Mytilus edulis: one gene and its partner. The protein of the gene in region 1 binds, or shares a complex with, the protein of each later gene. Links are inferred from orthologs where the notes say so. Each region holds a gene or a part of one and is shown in the gene's direction. Other genes may lie near its edges. The genes, in order: origin recognition complex subunit 3-like and origin recognition complex subunit 5-like.

Region 1 (9,930 bases):
AATGATGAAATCCTGTACTTGTAGACTATCATAGGCACATCTATAAATACTTACATGTAAAACATAGATGTAGACTATCATAGGCACATCCATAAATACTTACATGTAAAACATAGATGTAGACTATCATAGGCACATCTATAAATACTTACATGTAAAACATAGATGTAGACTATCATAGGCACATCCATAAATACTTACATGTAAAACATAGATGCCAATTTGTACAGCAAAACCAACCATAGTACATTTGTTGTTTCTATCTGAGGCTGAAATTACACAAAATATAAATCGGTTGTTATTTTTACTTCTGAACCAACCATATGACCTATAATATATATATACTTTGACCTATAATGCTTTACTTTTACAAATTGTGACTTGGATGGAGAGTTGCCTCATTGGCATTCAAATCATACCACATATATCTTATATTTATATAGCACATTTGTTGTTTCTATCTACAGTTGAAATTACACAAAATATAAAACAGTTGTTATGTGTGCTGATTTATAACATACCATTCCCCATTGATAAATTTAGAAATTATATGGGGACGGAGTCCCCAATAACAGTAGAAAATTCAATAAAAAAAAAAATACGGGAAAATTTCCTGAATTTTTCATTGTACTAATGAACTCAAAATCGTTCAATTTTTTTTTGTCGTGTTTTGAAATCCCGGACCTGCGCAGAAATGTACAATGTACTTCCTTTTTCCGGTCTCGTTTGTATGAAACTTTGAGTAAAATATATATTTATCAGTCTAGTATAAAATAGGAAGGAACGTGCAATACCAATTTCATTTTTAATAATTCCTTGGTATGAAAATACGTTACCTGATGATAGCGTTTCTTTGTTTACATTGCATATGACGTCATAATTTAAATAACGTCACAACTAAATCCCTAACAACAGAACCAAAATCGGAAACGTTACGGTATTTCCGTTTCTTTTTTTTTAAACAAATATTTAAGTTACAAAAAAATAATTCATACAGACTTCGTCCCCATTTACAGGTAATGCCTGCCTCATATTAAATATAAACATAATAAAGAAACTAAGGTTCCAACTCCCTCAGGCAAAACCAAGACCTCTATAATTATGGTTGGTAACATAGCTTTCATAAACAATAAATGATTCATAATTTGCAAAATATATTTTAACATTATGGTAATAAATTTTAAGCTTCTTAACATTTTTTGTTAAGCTGTAAAATGATAAATTACTTTGTTGTTTAACTTGAGATAATAATTTATCAATTTTCCTCTGTATCTTTGCATGTCTGGCAAACTCATCCACCATCTGTACACCATCCTGTTCTGTCTTCAGATCTTTAATCTGTGATCTTATATTCAGTTCTGTATCACAAACAGGGTATATCTGCTTACTCAGCTGAAACATAAAATAAACATTTTTTTCATTTCTGTGTGAATCTCACCAAATGTCTGTTAATAAGCATAGAATGCACATCATTCACACTGTGATCATTATTCTTCTGTCACCTGGGCCATTCCTACATCTCCTGATCTGTACTGTAGTTATTTTTTTTGTATGGTCTTCGGCCATAGCTGGTCACATCTGATCTGTACTTTATATAAATATTTCCATGGCTGATTAAGAAAAATTTACAAAAATAAAAAAAAAACTATGTTTGGATAGAACTTTGATCAGGTAACAACTGTATTGTATTGAATTGATTGATTGACATGGACAATAGACAGACATTAGTTATCTACAACTATAGGTGAGTTAAAGCGTGCAATACACCTTATCACTAATCCCTGCTGACCCGGCCGCTTGAACTTTTGACGCATACAACAATCACTTCTCCATTCGGACGTCAGATATTTGGTTTTAAGACGTAAAAATTTTACGGGAACCTGTGTGATTTTCAGTAATGGCGGACAAATAGCGATAAGGTGTATTGAGTGTACAGTATCTAAAGCAATTCAGGTGTGCATTTATTTTTACACCTTCTGGCTACAGGAACAACAAAAAAATGCCCATCAAAATCCAATTTCTTTCTGAAATACATTATGCATTTAACTTTTATATATCTAGTTGATACCAGGCCTTAAAACCTTTCCAACTAAACAGGTTAGACTGTACTCTAGAGTAGTTTAAGATGTGTAAATATAGCCAGTCTTCATTTTTTTGTCCATTTGTTATGATAAACCTACAAAAGGCATTTGTATATATTAAAGAAGAAGGAAAATTGCATGCAAAATGGATTGATTCATACTTGTTTTGAAATTATCTGGGTAAAATTCGACAAAATATTGAAGAAAATCACCAAAATTAGAACTAGTATAAGCAAAAACATTTTTTTTCTTTTTTCCAGAATATAATTCAACGTCAAGTATCAACTTGCTTTTGATTCTTGATATATGTTACTTTAAAGCGCTTTGAAGATGATTAAATGTTTTGTTACAGACTACTAAGACTTTATCGAGATTGTTCGTTTTTACAATCACTGAAGTCCAAACTAAAAGTTTCGAATACAACATACAGCCTGCTTCCTAAATACCGACTTCACATAAAACATAAATTAAAAATGAAAGTCGTACCAATAGAAATTTTTAATATACAATTTCTAATTTATCCATGTTTTAAGGAAAAAATCTTGATTCGTCAGAGTATCCAAATTGCACTTCTTTGAGCAAAGAGAGGAAAGAAAGTCTTACAAAGTTTTCTAAGGGAAAATATTTTGTATTTTTTTATTATTTGACATTACCTCGGAATAGTATATCTAACTTATAAGTTAATATATATGTTCCTGACATTACTGATGATGCACATATTTTTAAAGATAGGTTAATAGATTTAAATGTTCACAAAATGTTCACAGTAAATATCACTGAACAGATGAAGTATTAACCGGAAAAGGTAAAATCTACAGTAACATCACCATAAGACAGTCATCTTCTAAAAATGAGCAAATGAAATATGTAGACATTACGCACGTTAATGATTGGATTAACATTTAAGGAATGACTGTAATATTTTTTCTGTCTATGAAGAAATAACATAAAAAAAATGTGGTGCACACTGAATAACGTGCGTGTTATTTCGAAATAGACAGAAAAATATTACAGTCATTTCTTATAATTTAATTCTAAATTCATTTTAAACAGTTTTACCGTAGAAAACCATGAAAAACGTTGATGACGTCACGGTCACATGACTAAATTATGTCTATGGGCTGATAACAAAATAACGTCAGCCAATCAGAAGACGCGTTACATCCAAAATTAAATAATTTCGTTATGATATTATTTTAGAACAGCAACAATTCGCCTATACAAAATAAACCCACCAACATGCATACGTCTACAGAAAGCCCTTGACATGTTTTTCTTATTTTAAGTTAAGTATAAATGTTTGCACCATACGTTTATTTTATTGATCACACATATCTTACTTTTACATTAAATAATTGCATGTCCGGCGCAACATTGAGATTGAATAAAATGCATTTTCCTATGTTCCGTTGTAAAATTGCACATAAAATCTGCGAAATTTGGTACATCAACTTCCTACTAGATTTATATTCTAACGTCTTACCATGTTTTTTTTTGCGTTGGGTGGTATTTGAAACAAGTCCCCAACGAAGTATTCATCAGAGGAAATCTGTCTTTATGTGTCATGAGGAAAGTTATCAAAATTTCGAATTTTATTATTGTCAATCAAATCATATTAAAGCTATATTGACTCAATAGAAAGTTCTGAAAAAAATAAGCATGTTCAAAGTTTCGAAGGTAAAAAAAAACTTTTTCATGAAGCATAATCTAAATAAATTGCATGTCTAGCCACTATGTCCATACGATATTTTTTTTCCATTCCTTTATAGTTGAAATATGTAATACTAGTATAAACAGAAAATTTGCATTTATAATGACAAAATTCAGTCCAACATCCATGCACAAGAAAGTGAAAATTTCATATCTTCTCTCAATTATAAAATGTATAAGCCGAAGGGCTATAAATCTGTCATTTCGTACAGATAAGGCGACTGATATTATAACAACAAACAGATGTTTAAAACACAAAATTGTTAAACTTTAAAACTTTAAAAAGGAAAATGCACAGGCACATGTGGGGTTGACACTCCTCCTTTATTTTTGGTGTTTAATTCTTATTTTGGAAATATTCTGTGATGTTGTTTATCCTGACTTTTAAGATTAATTTGAAAACCTAATTATTTTTAAATATGTATTTTTTTTTTGATATCTTAATCTTGCAATTTATTGAAAAAAATAAATTTTGTAAAAAAAACCAAAATCACATATAAAGAAAAAAAAAGATTCATTTCTTGATTGGTATTGTGTATTTATTTTTTATCTCTTCTTGTAATTGCCACCTAAAAACCATGTGACATCTGTGAACTAACATAATATAATTGATGTGACAGTTTAATTTGAAAATATTGTGTTTTCTAAGTGGTGCAGGAGATAAGTTCACTTATTATCAAGTTAACATCATTTTGATGCAAATTCTCGGGCTTAGATTGAAGACTGTAAAGAAGAGACCAGTTTTAGATGTTCATGAAGAGCTTCAGTCTGGTCCATCGTCACCGTGGAGATAAGGAAAACCGGATCGTAACCCTTGGTTAGCGAAGATCATAGTCTGGTTACATCAATGCAGTACGTATTCTTGACTGTTTTCACCTTAGAGAAGATGATACTGTCTTGCATTTTATTGTATCTACACAAGATGTCATTCGTCTGTTTTGCATTATAATGCATCAAGACAAGACTTCGAATGACAAATTGAATTTTGTTACTTTTATGTGAATTTTTACTTGCTTTACAAAATCGTTGATCTCAGTTGTCTTCAACTTCTACCGGATAATGGACCATTGGCCACAATCAACTAACAGAATATTTTGCCATGACTTTGGTCAAATTATTATTCACTTATAAACTATGGAAAGCTTCTAGTTTTTATTTCTGCCTAGCTAAATAAAGGGGTCTTCAACCAGGTTCTTGGTTCGAACTCTCCGACAGTTATCAGAGTGCTGACAGGAGTAACCTGAGAGTTGGCCATATTCAACTGTTTGCCAAATGATATAAAGGATTTTGAAAAGACTTATAGAAAGCTTTAAGATGAAATGTGCTAATCTCTTGATCACAAAACAAAATGAGTAGACAAACGTTTTTTTATGACATTCTTGCCATGCTAGTTCTGTACAGTCTGATTTCATGCTTGCATAGATATATATTTGTAATTTGTAATTGTGTACATATCTATTGATTGTGCAATATGCATTGATTGTTATATGAATTGTTCATTTAAATGTGTTAAGGCCTTGTATGAGATTAACAATTGCATGTTAAAGGAGTTACCTTCGTTAAATAAAGAATTTATCATTAATTATATATATATGTAAAAAAAAAACACACAGAAAATACAACTCGTAAAATCCCTCCTTTTAGAAAGTATTACCAGAAACTTATATGTGTATATATGTCTCTGGTATTACTTTTGCATTTTTCAAAGGTCTCCTGCAAATGCGTCTGAAAATAGAGGTTTCATGTATGTGTCATCATTAAGTTGTAATTAATTTTTGGTACGTGTTTACAGTGTTAACTCTCTTGAAATTGTGTTTGGTGATTAGTTGTATTTTTGGTAATTCTCCAAGGAAACATTATTGACAGAGCCTGTATATTGAATTCTCCCGCAAAATGTATGATTGCAAGAAAACAGAAAAGGCTTAATTTTTTTTAGTAAATACCATAAACTGTTGACATGGACACTGGGTCTTCAGTTTCAAAAGTATATTAATTAATGATAGTGAAATTCTCATCACAGCTTACTTATTTTTTATTATCATGATTGAAATATATCAAATAGTTTATTATTTGTTATTTATTTTCTACAAAAAGCACTTGTTTCTACTTTATATTTCTATTCATAATCAATTTTTTGAGTCCAGATATCCTACAACTGTTCTAGAGTAGTCTAGATTTATTGTGAAGGATTTATTAAATCAAATCAATTTGCTGAAAATTAGAGCATGACATTATTGTGTAGGCTAGCAGAATAGACACCCTAACAGTAGTCCAAATAATTATGACGTCTGGCAAGGCTATTTTAATTTTTTCTGGGACGCCTTCCTACGACGTCATAACGCCGAAGCCATTTTTTATGTTTGGAGTTTGAGAGCAAATTTTGGGGGGAACTTTAAAACCTTATTTTGACCTGAAATTTTCATTGCTGGTTAGAAATTTTTACGTTATTACAAAGTCCTACCTTTTTTGTGCTGATTTATGTAAAATATTTCCAGAAATATCCAAAAGTAATGATAAAATAAGATGCAATTCCATTTCAAGTGGGCAAATATTTATATTGTTTCAGAGAGATTTCCCACAATTACCAAAAAAACGTGACAAACGTGACTTCCGGTGAATATAAAATATTAAAATCGGTAAAATTTGACAGACCCGAATTCCCAGAACATTTCATTTACATTATCCGGAATTCCCCCCAAAATTTGCTCTCAAACTCCAGACCTAAAAAATGGCTTCGGCGTTATGACGTCGTAGGAAGGCGTCCCAGAAAAAATTAAAATAGCCTTGCCAGACGTCATAATTATTTGGACTACCCTAACAGTAACCAACTTGCATTTATGTTCCAGACCGTATGTGTACTTTTTCAAAATACTTATACGATCAGACCGTACACATACAGTCTCACTAATATTGAGAAGTTGGTCAAGTTTATTAGATACAAATTTATAATTAATGCGTATTACAGATCAGCATAACTTAACTCTCAAATTAATATATGAAAAAGTTCAATTGTAGTTGAAATAAAAACTTTATATTCTAACTATTTTAAAAAATCATGCTAATCAACTCTGTTAATCTCCTGTATTTATATGATGTCGATCAGTTATACATTATTTAAATTATGATCACTGAAATTGAAGATATCTGAAGTAAACATAATATGGGAGGACAGTTGTTTTAGAATGTTTAGCAACTTTACAAAAAAATGCAAATGCAAAGGGACATGCATGAACTGCAGACATGTACATTTTCAAATGTAAAAAATATAAAGTCACCTTGGGCGAGTGTACCAAAATAGGATTCAGATATGCAATTAAACAAAGTTAAATTTCAATTGTTTGTTTGTTCAGTTTATCTGTCTAATTGTAATAATAAAAATTTGTAAAACTAAAAATAAAGATTGTGGAAAATTGTTTAAATATAACCCATATGATCCAATCACATGTATGGTCCATACGCGCATACTTATACGGTCCGACCGTACAGGTATACGTATACTGTCTGGACTGTACACGTACGGTCCAAATACTCATATGGTCTGGAACATAAAATTGAGAATGGAAATGGGGAATGTGTCAAAGAGACAACAACCCGACCATAGAAAAAACAACGGCAGAAGGTCACCAACATGTATGTTCCAGACCACATGAGTATACAGTCGGACCGTGGCGTACAAGTATACTCATACGGTCTAGAATGAGCTGGACCATACATGTATTTGGATCATATGGGTTTATTTTAGACAAACATTAATAAAAAAACTTTTATTGAGTATTTCAAGTTAATATTATTACAGTTTGATGAATAAAGTGAATAAGTTAACAATAAATCAATTGAAATTAAATAATTCTGTATTAAATTGTCTCTAAATCCTATTTTGGCAATCCCGCCCTGGGTGACACTCATGACACTTGCTGCTAGGAGGAACATCAGATTTTTTTACATTTACAATTTTACATGTATAATTTGTTTGTGCATGTTCCTTTGCATTTGCATCTCTTGCTTGCTTGCTTATTTTGCAGCAATATGCAATAAATTTCATTCTGTTTTCCAATGTGCAGTTTCAATTTTGCGTGGGAAAAGATCGATATCACCCATAACATAAGAGTTCAATATGCCAAATTCACATGATAGTTTGTACAAATTTACATCCTTACCAATTATATCATCAACCCTACATCTCCCTGATGATTTTCTTACAGGAATAAAGCTACCCTTTTTAATCTTTGCATTATTTTTCAACACTTTTTAGCTCACATGGCCTGAAGGGCCAAGCTAAGTGAGCTTATGCCATCACTTGGCGTCCGTCGTCGTCCATCGTCTGTCGTCCTAAACTATTTCAAGAATCTTCTCCTCTGAACCTACTAGGCCAAATACTTCCAAACTTTAACTGAATGTTCCTTAGGATATCTAGTTTATAAATTGTATCCGAAGTTTTGATCTATCAACAAACATGGTCGCCATTGCTAAAAATAGAACATGGGGTCAAATGCAGTTTTTGGCTTATAACTCAAAAACCAAAGCATTTAGAGCAAATCTGACATGGGTAAAATTGATTATCAGGTGAAGATCTATCTGCCCTAATATTTTCAGATGAATCGGACAACCCGTTGTTGGGTTGCTGCCCCTGAATTGGAAATTTTAAGGAAATTTTGCTGTTTTTGGTTATTATCATGAATATTATTACAGGTAAAGATAAACTGTAAACAGCAAAAATGTTCAGCAAAGTAAGACCTAAAAATAAGTCAACATGACTGAAATGGTCAGTTGACCCCTTTAGGAGTTATTGTCCTTTATAGTCAATTTTTAACCATTTTTCATAAATCTTAGTTATCTTTTACAAAAATCTTCTCCTCTGAAACTACTGGGCCAAATTGAACTAAACTTGGCTACAACCATCATTGGGGTATCTAGTTTAAAAATTGTGTCCGGTGACCTGGCCAACCAACCAAAATGGCCGCCATGGCTAAAAATAGAACATAAGGGTAAAATGTCAAAAACCAAAGCATTAATATCAAATCTGACTGTGGTTGAATTGTTTATCAGGTCAAAATCTATCTGCCCTGAAATATTCAGATGGATAGGACGACACGTTGCTAGGTTGCTGCCGATGAATTGGCAATTTTAAGGAAATTTTGCAGTTTTTAGCTCACTTTTCCTAAAAGGAAATGTGAGCTTTTCTCATCACTTGGCGTCCGTCGTCGTCGTCGTCTGTCGTCGTTAACAATTTTTCAAACATCTTCTTCTCTAAAACTACTGAATGGATTTGGATGAAACTTAGCATGATTGTTCCTTAGATTATCCTGCACAAAGTTTGTGCTTCGATATTTGATCCGTCAAAAAACATGGCCGCCGTTACTTAAAATAGAACATAGGGGTCAAATGCAGTTTTTGGCTTATATCTCAAAAACTAAAGCATTTAAAGCAAATCTGACATGGTGTAAAAATGTTCATTAGGTCAAGATCTATCAGCCCTGAAATTTTCAGATGAATCAAACAACCCATTGTTGGGTTGCTGCCACTTAATTGGTAATTTTAAGGAAATTTTGCAGTTTTTGGTCATTATCTTGAATATTATTATAGATAAAGATAAACTGTAAAGAGCAAAAATGATCAGCAAAGTAAGATCTACAAATAAGTTAATATGACCAAAATTGTCAATTGACCCCTTAAGGGGTTATTGTCCTTTAATGACAATTTTTCACAATTTGTTCATCATATTTGCTAACTTTAAAAAATATTCTCCTCTAAAACTACTCAACCAAATTCAACCAAACTTCATTTGAATGATCAGTAGGGTGTATAAAATAAAGTTTGTGTTTTATTTTCTATTTCGTCAAAAAACATGGCCGAAGGCATTGTTTACCAGGTGAGCGATTCAGGCTCTTGAGAGCCTCTTGTTTATTATATTTTCTCATTACATTTTTGAACAGATTTTTTAAAATTTCTGTCCAGAATCTCCACGGTATTTTGTTGTGATACACAGGATATTAACTTTAAAACATTAAGTTTTTATTCCTATTACTATTGAACATTTTATATTAATTCGAGATTTCAGTTATGTTGATCTGTAATATACATTTGTATCTAATAAAGCCGCCTGACCAACTTCTTATAATCTGGCAGACCGTATGCATAT
Region 2 (10,116 bases), on another chromosome or scaffold:
ATATAAATACAAAAAGTAGAAGTTCATACAGTACGTAAAACACAAGTTCTTAAACACATTTATTGAAGCATAATAATTACGGAATAAAACACAGGATCGAATGTAAAAAGGTTTACAACATATTAAAAAAAAAAAGCACACAGAGAATAGTTGAATAGCTATGAAGCAAAAAATCAAAGGTCTGAGAAGCACTACCGTAGAAATTAACAAAATAAAAAATGCCATATGCTGAAAACAAAGCATTAAACTTATAAAAGGAAGATATTTAACTAATTTTGCTGTCGAAGCATTTGTACTTATGAGCAACCAGATCGAGAATTTACCATGTTTGAAAAGTGCACATTTTTAGGCGGCCGATGATTTACAGAGTATATCTTAAGGTGGCTCGTGCATGGGTACAAAAATTTCAGAAAAAAATTAAACCTTTATTTTTTCATTACAAATTTTTTTAATTACACTATTAGTTATAACGTTATGATATGGTACAAAAATCAACCCTCCCCCCAAAAAAAAACCCGATTCGGTTTGGCTCCAGATGACTTTTAAAATGTTTTAATATATCATTGAAAAAGCTCCAAATTATCTCCCTTTGGTGCAAAAATGCCATTTCTTGGCATTAAATGTGAAACATCTTTTTTTACTCATCGTTGATCGATATTTTTTATCATTGTTTTCAAATAACTTACTTACTTACTTACTGCCCGGTATGTCATCGGCATGTAGGGCAGCAACAAAGGTTCTCCATTTCTGTCTGTCTTTGGCCATCTTTTCTACTGTTCCCCATGTATTATTCATGGTCTTCAGTTCTCCTTCTACAGTACGTCTCCATGTGTTCTTTGGTCTTCCTCGCTTACGCCTTCCTTCTGGAGTCCAATGTAGAGCTGTTCTAGTGATGGAATTTCTATCTCTTCTGATGACATGCCCAATCCATTTCCAACGCCTTCTCATTAATATTGTACCCATGCTATCTTGATGACACTGTCTCAAAAGGTCTTCATTAGATATTTTATTTGGCCAGAAAATACGTAGGATTCTTCTTAAGCTTTTGGTATGGAAAATTGACAGTTTGTTTAGATCTAATTCTGTCATCCTCCAGCATTCAGATCCGTATAGCAGAGTAGATAAAACACAACTCCTGTACAGTTTAAGTTTGGTCTTCTTACTGTACTGTGCTGATTTCCATACATTGTTTAATGATCTGAAAATATTTCTGGCTTTGTTTAATCTGTTCATAATGTCATTTCCTGCACCTCCATCGTTTCTTATTGTACTTCCTAGGTATGTAAATGTTTCTGTGATGGGAAGATCTTTTCCATCTACTAGGATAGGAGCTGGGTTATTGATGTTTAGGGTCATGACTTCTGTTTTGGTTTGGCTGATTTTAAGTCCAACTTGACTGGCAAATGTATTAAGGCGGTTTGTCTTCTTTTGTAAATGGTGGTGGGTGTGAGATAAAAGAGCAAGATCATCAGCAAAATCAAGATCTTCTAGTGTTGCTGAAAGGTTCCATCTTATTCCTCTTGGAGCATCTTCTGTTGTTTTTCTCATTACCCAGTCAATGACAACATTGAAAAGAAGAGAAGACATCACACATCCTTGCCTAACTCCTGTTTTTACCTCAAACCAGATGTTGCTATGCCCTACACTGCAAGTGAAATTGTTGTAAAAACTTTTGATAAGTTCAATTATATCTTTTGGAATTCCATATGCTCTTAGTATTCGCCACAAGGTCTTTCTGTTGATACTGTCAAAGGCCTTCTGGAAATCCACAAAGTTGATGTAAAGCTGCCTTTGCCATTCTGTACATTGTTCGATGATGTTGCGTAAAGCAAAAATTTGATCGATGCACCCTCTACCTTTACGGAATCCTGCTTGCTCTTCTCTTAGTTGTTTATCAATTGCATCTATTATTCTTTGGATAATAATTTTGGCCATGATTTTACTTGGAATTGACAGGAGGGTAATGCCTCGCCAATTGTTGCAATCGCTTAGAGCTCCTTTCTTGGCTAGCTTTATTATTATGCCTTTGGTCCAATCGTCTGGTATTATTTTTCCTTCCCATATTGATGTAAATAATGCTTGAAGAATTTCAGCTGCGAGTTCTGGGTCGACTTTGAAAAGTTCTGCATTCAGGTTGTCATGACCTGGTGATTTTCCATTTTTTAAAGATTTTATTACTTTTATTATTTCTTGTTTGTCTGGAAGGTTGATATTAATTTCCAAGTCTTGAACTGCCTCAATTACTATCGCTTCGTCACCTGGCGGTGGCCTGTTAAGTACTTCCTTAAAGTGTTCTGCCCATCTGGCTTTTTGCTCGTCTTCTGTTGTCAATAGCCTTCCATTTTTGTCTTTTATATGGACATCATTAGTGTTACGAAATTTACCACAGATTTCTCTTGTGATCTTGTAGATTTTTCCTTGTTCGCCCTTTTCTGCTGCTTCTTCTGCTTGTTTAGCAAGGTCTTCCATGTAAGCTCTTTTGTCTGCTCTAGCCATTCGCTTAACATTTTTGTCTAGTACTCTGTAGCTTGCTTTGTGTCTTTCTTGTAACCGTTCAGATTTTGTGTCTAGAATCTTCTTATTCATGTGACGTCTTTCTTCTATAACCTTCCATGTACCTGGTGTTATCCATTTCTTCATCGTTTTACCCTGTTTAAAACCCAAACATTCTTTGCTAGTTGTTTCGTAAATTTTTCTTATTTGATCCCATTTTGAGTTGACTTTTGTTGTTTCTGTCGGGATCATGTCAGGATTATCTGTAAGAGCTTGAAACTTATTTTTCAATTGGAGGATGAATGCAGTTTTTACTTTGTGATCTTGTAATTTTTCAATATCATATCTTGTGGGGACAAGTGTTTTACGTCCTGTACTTCTCAATTTCATCTTAATATTTGCAGTAACAAGGTGATGGTCACTACCAACATCTGCTCCCCTCTTGACTTTAACATCGAGTAATGAACGCCTCCAAGTACCATTTATCATAAGGTGGTCTATCTGGTTCTTATCCCTTCCATTTGGAGAACACCATGTTAATTTATGTATATCTTGATGTGAAAAGAGTGTTCCTCCTACTACCAAGTTGTAAGCTGCACATAATTCTGCTAGTCTTTCTCCATTATCATTTATAGTACCACATCCATGTTTACCTATTATTCTGTCCATATCAGTGTTGTTGTTTCCCACTTTGGCATTCAAATCACCCATCACCACCAATAGATCATGACGGGGTACCAATCTCACTTCAGCTTGTAGTTGTTCGTAAAAGGTGTCTTTCATAGCTTCATCACTGTCATTTGTTGGTGCATAGCATTGTATAAGGGTCATGTTGGTGTGCACTCCTTTAAATTTTGCTGTTATCAATCTACTATTGACAGGTTTCCATTCCATAAGTCTCTTCTCAGTGCCTTTCTTGAGGATGATGGCTACTCCTTCAAAATGATAGTTGTCATCTCTCCCTGAGTACAGAACTGTTTCTCCTGAATCTGTCTTTATCTTACCAGAACCTGTCCATCTACTCTCGCTAACTCCCAAAATGTGCAAATTATATCGCCTCATTTCTGATGTGACCTGTGCAAGTTTCCCAGTTTCATACATAGTACGTACGTTCCAGAATCCTATTCTGGTTTTTGCTTTAGCGCTCAGCACTTCATTCCTGCCAGCAGCTTCCTTGCGGCTTTCACCACTGGCAATCATACTATTTTCTTGAAGGCCTATTCGCACAGCGGTTGTGTTTGATTCCTTTGTTGCTGTTTCCGTAACTTAATTCTTTTTACAGGATAGAGTTGTTGGCCCTATGCCGAACCCCCTACTTGGAGGGCCAGGGATTTTTTGTCGAGGTTTCCTTCCTTTAGATAAGTTGCCGACCAAGGCTGACGAACCATTATCTGCCCTTTTTATATCAGAGTTTTCTTTCTCCTAGATAAATTACCTTCCTGGGTTAACGATCTTCATCTAACCGGCTATTTACCCATAGTTGGGGCAAGGTTAATGAGAGTAAGGGCGTGTCCACACGCCGGTGGGCCTACACTCTGCATCTTTAGGGCCCTTGCTGCTCCAAGATCCTCTACAGTAAAGCCTGAGATACTAGATCCCAGTTACCATGTGCTGTCGCGGGGAGGCACTGTAGAAGTCTTGACAGTGTAGAGGCTATGTACTGACAGGAGAGGCTTACTCACTCGGCTCTCTCTTCGCTCACATATGCAAGCTAGCCAGCGGCAGCTGCTTTTCATAAAAAAAACAACCACACTAGACGCATACTACTGCCCTGTGGAACAACCACCAGCACACATGTTTTCAAATAAGCTGTACATAAACTAAATAATTGTAAAATTTAAGCGATTTCTGTAATTATGTTATTTTTTTATTTCGATATTACCCGTCTATTTCTTCATTAGCTCAACAGAAAAAAAGGACATTAACAAAAATGTATGCTTATTCCGGAGGCAGATTGTGAGCTTAAATGAACGGTGGCCCCATTTTTTTATTTCATTTTTCTTTTAAGTATATGATAAAGTTCATTTATGAAAAAATATAGCGAAATCCTATATTAGAATTTTTTTTTTAATCAACCACTTTCTATATTAGAAAATGTCTGTACCAAGTCAGGAATATGACAGCTGTTATCCATTCGTTTTGGTGTGTTTGAGTTCAGTTTTATAGTGATTATACTTTTACATTGTTTTAGAAACGTGAGGAAGTTATATATATATATATATGGGCCTAAAAGTGGTACATAACAATTCGTTCCTTCAAAACATAGACAGTTTGCTTCATGGGATGATTCGCAACTGAAATTAAATCTTTAAGGAGGCTCGAGGGTATAAAAATTTCAGAAAAAAAATAAACATTTGTTTTTCATTACAAATTTTATTTATTACCTTTTGTAGTTGTTACTTTATCATATGGTACAAAAAACATTCAAAACAATTAATTCGTGTTGGCCCCAGATGACTTTTTAAATGTAAGCATCATTAAAAAAGTTCCAAATTATCTCCCTTTGGTGAAAAAATGCCATTTTTTGGCTTTAAATAAAGGCAACAGTAGTATACCGCTGTTCAAAACTCATAAATCCATGGACAAAAAACAAAATCGGGGTAACAAACTAAAACCGAGGGAAACGCATTTAATATAAGAGGAGAACAACGACATAACACTAAAATGTAACACACATAGACAAAATCCCACGAGAATAACAAATATAACATATATTTTTTAAAATTGAAATATCTCTTTTAACTCATCGGTGACCAGGCTATATTTTTTAATATAATTTCGATATATGCTGTACTTAAATTAAATTATTGCAAAATTTGAGCGATTTCTGTAATAAATTTCTTTTTTTTATTTCGATATTACTTTTATTTTTCCTATCAGTTCAACAGAAAAAAAAACCACTTTAACAAAGATGTATGCTTCTTTCCAGAGACATATATATATGTCTCTGTTCTTTCGAAGGCAGATTGTGAGCGCAAATGAACGGTGACCCCATTTTTTATTTTATTTTTCTATTAACTATAAGATAAAGTTCATTTATAGAAAAATATAGAGAAATCCTATTTAAATGATTTAGACCCGCGAACCCCCTTAAGTAAAGATTATCTGTAATATTAGTTTAGCTCAAGCCGATAGACATATAAGACGGAACAGTCATCTCGTCCGCTATTGACTCAGTGTTTTATAAGGATAATCTTTCGATAGTCATCGGAAATCATTAAAAAGATCCGAAATTTGGCGGGGAAATTTAATGAATTTTGACAACATTACCTGTTTAGAATTAGGTGACCGACATACAAGGTCCTTTTACTTCAATTATTTATTTATAAATTACATATGAAGAAAAAAATCTCTAGATGACAAAATTTATAACTTTTTCGTTACCAGTACCACACCGGCACACGGTCATGACAGTGTGCCTGTGTTGGTAACGAATTTTTTTTCTGGGAAGCCTTTCTACGACGTCATAATTATTTGGACTAGACAGTCACCGGCTTACTTGACACTGTCACAGACTACACATGAGAAACATTTTACATAGCATCTAACATTATAAACACTTAACTCGAAGCCCTGTTTTCATGTCTACCCGTCCCCTAGTCCAAATAATTATGACGTCTTGAAAGGCTATTATAATTTTTTTCTTTGACGCCTTACTTCGACGTCTAATTTTTTTCTTTGACGCCTTACTTCGACGTCGAAGTAAGGCGTCAAAGAAAAAAATTATAATAGCCTTTTAAGACGTCATAATTATTTGGACTACCCGTCCCCTAGTTGATCCGTCCTCAGGTCCTTCTGTTCTAAGTCTTCATTCCAAGTCAATCCGACCCACACTTTCAACATCATAACATGTAAAAAATTAAACTACTCAGTCTCATGATTATTGATGAACAAAAATCCCCAAAACTTTGGCAGATTCTGCTATGAAAGATATAATTCTGTGTCTTATGTATTTTTATTCCCCAAGTGTAGGGGCATTAAGTGTTACCCTTGTCAGTCCCGTTTTTCCTGTTGGTTCCAATCCAAAATTGGTTTCTGTTCTCTATGAACGAGTCTGCCTCAACCAAATGTTACAAAACTTGTACAGAATGCTTTCTTCCATAATTTACAGATCAAGTTCAAGTTCAAACTGTGGCGTCACTTGAACCTGTTCATGAGTAATCCTAATATACATGTAGGCCAAAAAAATAATACATGTGTTCCTGCTTAAGTTCTGAAAGAATTTAGGGTAGTTTACTTAGGCATGTTAGGTAGGTAGGCAATATCATTTTATTTTCCAAACATTTCTTAGCTGGATACTACTTGGGAACCAGTCTGACTCTAACGGTGCTTGTTCAAAATGCCCCAAAAAATTAAGGTATGCACTAAAAACTTGGGTAGGTAGGGTTAGGGGAAATACATGTATTATTTTTTTGGGCCTTATAAATATAAAAATTGCTGGCAATAAATACAGAGTACAGTAGACTCCGGCCAATCGGATACCCAAAATGTCAGCTAAAAATATCTGATATTGTCCGATATATTCAATTAGCCGATGAACGTATATTCCTCCGAGTTTTTTTTCAAAATTGACAGACACAACCCTAAGATACCAATAGCTATTATAGCTGCTTTATTAATGGAAATTTGTAACTAATCTCATTGTTTTTTCAGGTACAAGTTCGGATAATTCGGTTGATTGAGTAACAGATCAATCAGTTGATAATAATGTATTTTGTTTATCTGTCAGTCTATTGATTATTAATTATTAATTATGAGTTGATTATCTGAATAAAATATGTACCATTTAAATAATGTGACTTGTTGTTTTTGCGTGATTTGTTTCATTTGTGTGTTAAAACAGGTAAAAGCTAAAAATAGCTATGAATTCTCGGAAGTAGGCCACAGGTAAATTCTATTAATAGCTACGAATTCATGCCGACTATAAACTTCTACCTGTAATCGTACTCGGATCTAATTTTCTACATTTTTTTATTTATGAAATCCATTTCCAATTTCAAGTAATACAACTATGTTTATGATTATAAAATTGTAAAATTAATTTTGCTTTTCTATCTTCTCTGTCGTGGTTCAAAATAAAAGGCTGAATATTATGTAAATTAGGAAAATGGCGTACGTGTGTACAAGTTACATAATTCTATTTCACCTGGGACATGCTATTGACACACGATTCCTTGTTTTTACACGGGACTTCTATATATATTTTAATAAATTGTTGAGAAAGAGGTACATTTCATTCATATTTAATAAACATTGATGAACATCACGCACAGTTTATCATTTTGTCGTGTCATTGTTTGTGAAGTAAATGACAACGATCACATTTGGATAAACACATAACAAACACATCTTGGGCAGAATATAATATCAAATTCATAAAATAAACAAGACAATAAGAAAAAATATGTTTTATTTGACTATGAAAGATCGTTTTTATTAATAAAATGAAACATTTCTGTACTGAAGTTTTCTTAAACTTCGTAATGGCGTGACTTCCGGTTTCATTTCCTGTCAAAAAAAATATGAAACTATTTCAAAATATTCGATTGTACATGGTTTTCACACATTTTCCATGAATATTCCTATCCAATTAGCCGATATATTCTAATAACCGATATTCGATTATCCGATGTATTTTGACTGAAATGTATAGGGAATGGTTCGGTGTTTTGAAATAATATTACAATAGCCGATATATTCGATTAACCGATATCCGATTAGGTGGAGTCTACTGTACTTATAATTTATGGATATTCGATATCTTTATATTTAACATGTTTAAATAACAAGATATTTTTATACCATTATGATATATATAATAGATGTTTTATAAAGATATTTGATTTATTTGATCTAGCTATTAATACATTCCTTATGTTCAGTTGACACCTGTCAAATACTGCTCATTTGTTCTCCTTTTATGTAGAAGCTGCATCAGAAAATATGACAGAAGTAGACAACTTTAAAGAAGATCTCAACAAAACATTTCCATGCAGACAATCACAGATTAATTTGTTGCTGTCATTGTTTGGACAGGTAAGTGAAATGTTTTTTTACAAGTGTATACAGATGCAGATTACATAAAATGAAGATTACATAAAAAGGGTCCTAAATTTTAGTTTTCAAAAAAATGCAAGTTGTCCTGCTTTTTCCATGTCTATTTTAAAAAATAATATTCTTGGGTCAATTTAAACTCTACTTTGATAACTACTTTAAATATCTATTATATAGTTTTGAAGCTTGTGGTATCAAGTCATTTAATATGAGAAAGGCGCTACCTTGAATGCCAGCTTTATACCCAGACTATGTCCTTTATATATATATATATTGATTGATTATTGGTTGCCTAATGTCCAGTGGCAAATATTAATATTTCATACATGTTCAGGACGAATGTCCTACATATGATATAGTTTTTGTCTAAAATAAAATAATGAATTCAGATGGAAAATGTTTATGTATTGAATGATCATTGCACTTCAATACTTTGACAAAAGGCTGGAGGGGTATGGTATTTCTAGTTCAAAAGTCTTGAAAGGCTATTATATTATTTTTTTGACGCGTCGCAGGAAATCCTTTCTCAACGTGATAATTATGTTAATTAAATAAATACTATCATTAATTAACTATTTAATACTATTTTAGTGACATCTATTAGAAGTTGTTCTTTCTTGTTTGCTGCTTTTGGAATAAACAATACCAGCTTGATGATATATGATCTTATATTAATGTATTTTGTAATTTTAACAAAAACATCAGTACACATATGCCAGTTTGTTTATCTATGATTGCATATGAAGTTATTTTTAATTTTTAACAAAGACATCAGTACACATATGCCAGTTTGTTTATCTATGATTGAACTTATGTATATGAAGGTATTTTGTATTTTTGGAAAGTTTGCTATAGCTTGCTATTGCTACTTTCCTTAGGCGTCGGCCTCAAACTTCCGGTTGACAGATTATCGCATTATATTCTGCTCCGAGATAGTGTAGTACTAGTGTCTGAGTTCTGATACTTGGAAGATTCTTTAAAAATTTTAAGTTTCTACTGTTTTGACTGAAAAGAATACAGCTTGAATAAAAAAGAAATGAATGTTCACCGACGATTCAGATGAATTTAACTTCATTTTAAAAATGAGTATCACAAACACTACTTCGCGGATCTGCCATGCGCTGAAGAGAAAATCACAAGAAATCTACGCGAGATTGCGTTTTCATTCATTCATGAATATTTCATGAATGAAAATTTTCCCGCTCTACTTTTACCTGTTTACTACATGTACGTAGACGTGGTAAAATCCCGAGAGTATCGAAAGAATTGGGAATGACTGATTAAAATGCGAGAACAAGTTGACATTTTGACCAAGCCGTCGGATAATTGAAAAGTGATAAGTGATATAAACAAAACATAGGTGAAAGAATATAAAATACTCAATAATTAAAATTAAATTTTATGTCTAACGTCTCACGCCAAGGACGAGTAAAGGTAAATACCGAATTTGATAAAAAAAAAAATTTTAAAAATGCATTGTTTTTATCTAAACATCGATCGGAAGATTTTGATGCCAAAAGTCATTTGAAAACTTAGTTCCGTTATTTAAATACTAATTGTTTCACATTC

What was found.
Region 2: the proteins of origin recognition complex subunit 3-like (region 1) and origin recognition complex subunit 5-like are in contact, whole or in part, in a crystal structure (PDB 4XGC), measured with the Drosophila melanogaster proteins. The link is inferred for Mytilus edulis from reciprocal best matches to the Drosophila melanogaster genes Orc3 and Orc5. Residues at the interface, in NP_476904.1 of Drosophila melanogaster: Ile105, Gln107, Leu140, Lys141, Val144, Cys183, Thr184, Met185, Lys186, Gln187, Glu213, Cys214, Asp222, Leu225, Ile226, His230, Ala243, Thr244, His250, Tyr255, Ser258, Ser259, Arg262, Leu263, Ala270, Pro272, His302, Ile303, Leu305, Tyr306; in NP_477132.1 of Drosophila melanogaster: Ile72, Glu73, Tyr75, Ile79, Glu82, Asp86, Asp94, Arg130, Tyr291, Met292, Arg293, Ile294, Glu295, Leu319, Glu320, Leu321, Pro322, Tyr323, Tyr324, Ala325, Asp383, Leu386, Ala387, Tyr390, Val397, Leu399, Thr400, Cys401, Asn402, Leu403.

What each region holds. Positions count from the first base shown.
Region 1 is NC_092353.1:2,483,260-2,493,189, reverse strand, and holds the start of origin recognition complex subunit 3-like, read left to right. Parts: upstream 1-5,611; 5' UTR 5,612-5,748; coding exon 5,749-5,775; intron 5,776-9,930. Other genes in the region: guided entry of tail-anchored proteins factor 1-like, read right to left, coding at 202-269, 1,227-1,392, 2,243-2,323.
Region 2 is NC_092344.1:67,508,514-67,518,629, forward strand, and holds the start of origin recognition complex subunit 5-like, read left to right. Parts: upstream 1-5,660; 5' UTR 5,661-5,793; intron 5,794-8,419; 5' UTR 8,420-8,436; coding exon 8,437-8,529; intron 8,530-10,116. UniProt on the Drosophila melanogaster protein: Component of the origin recognition complex (ORC) that binds origins of replication. DNA-binding is ATP-dependent, however specific DNA sequences that define origins of replication have not been identified so far.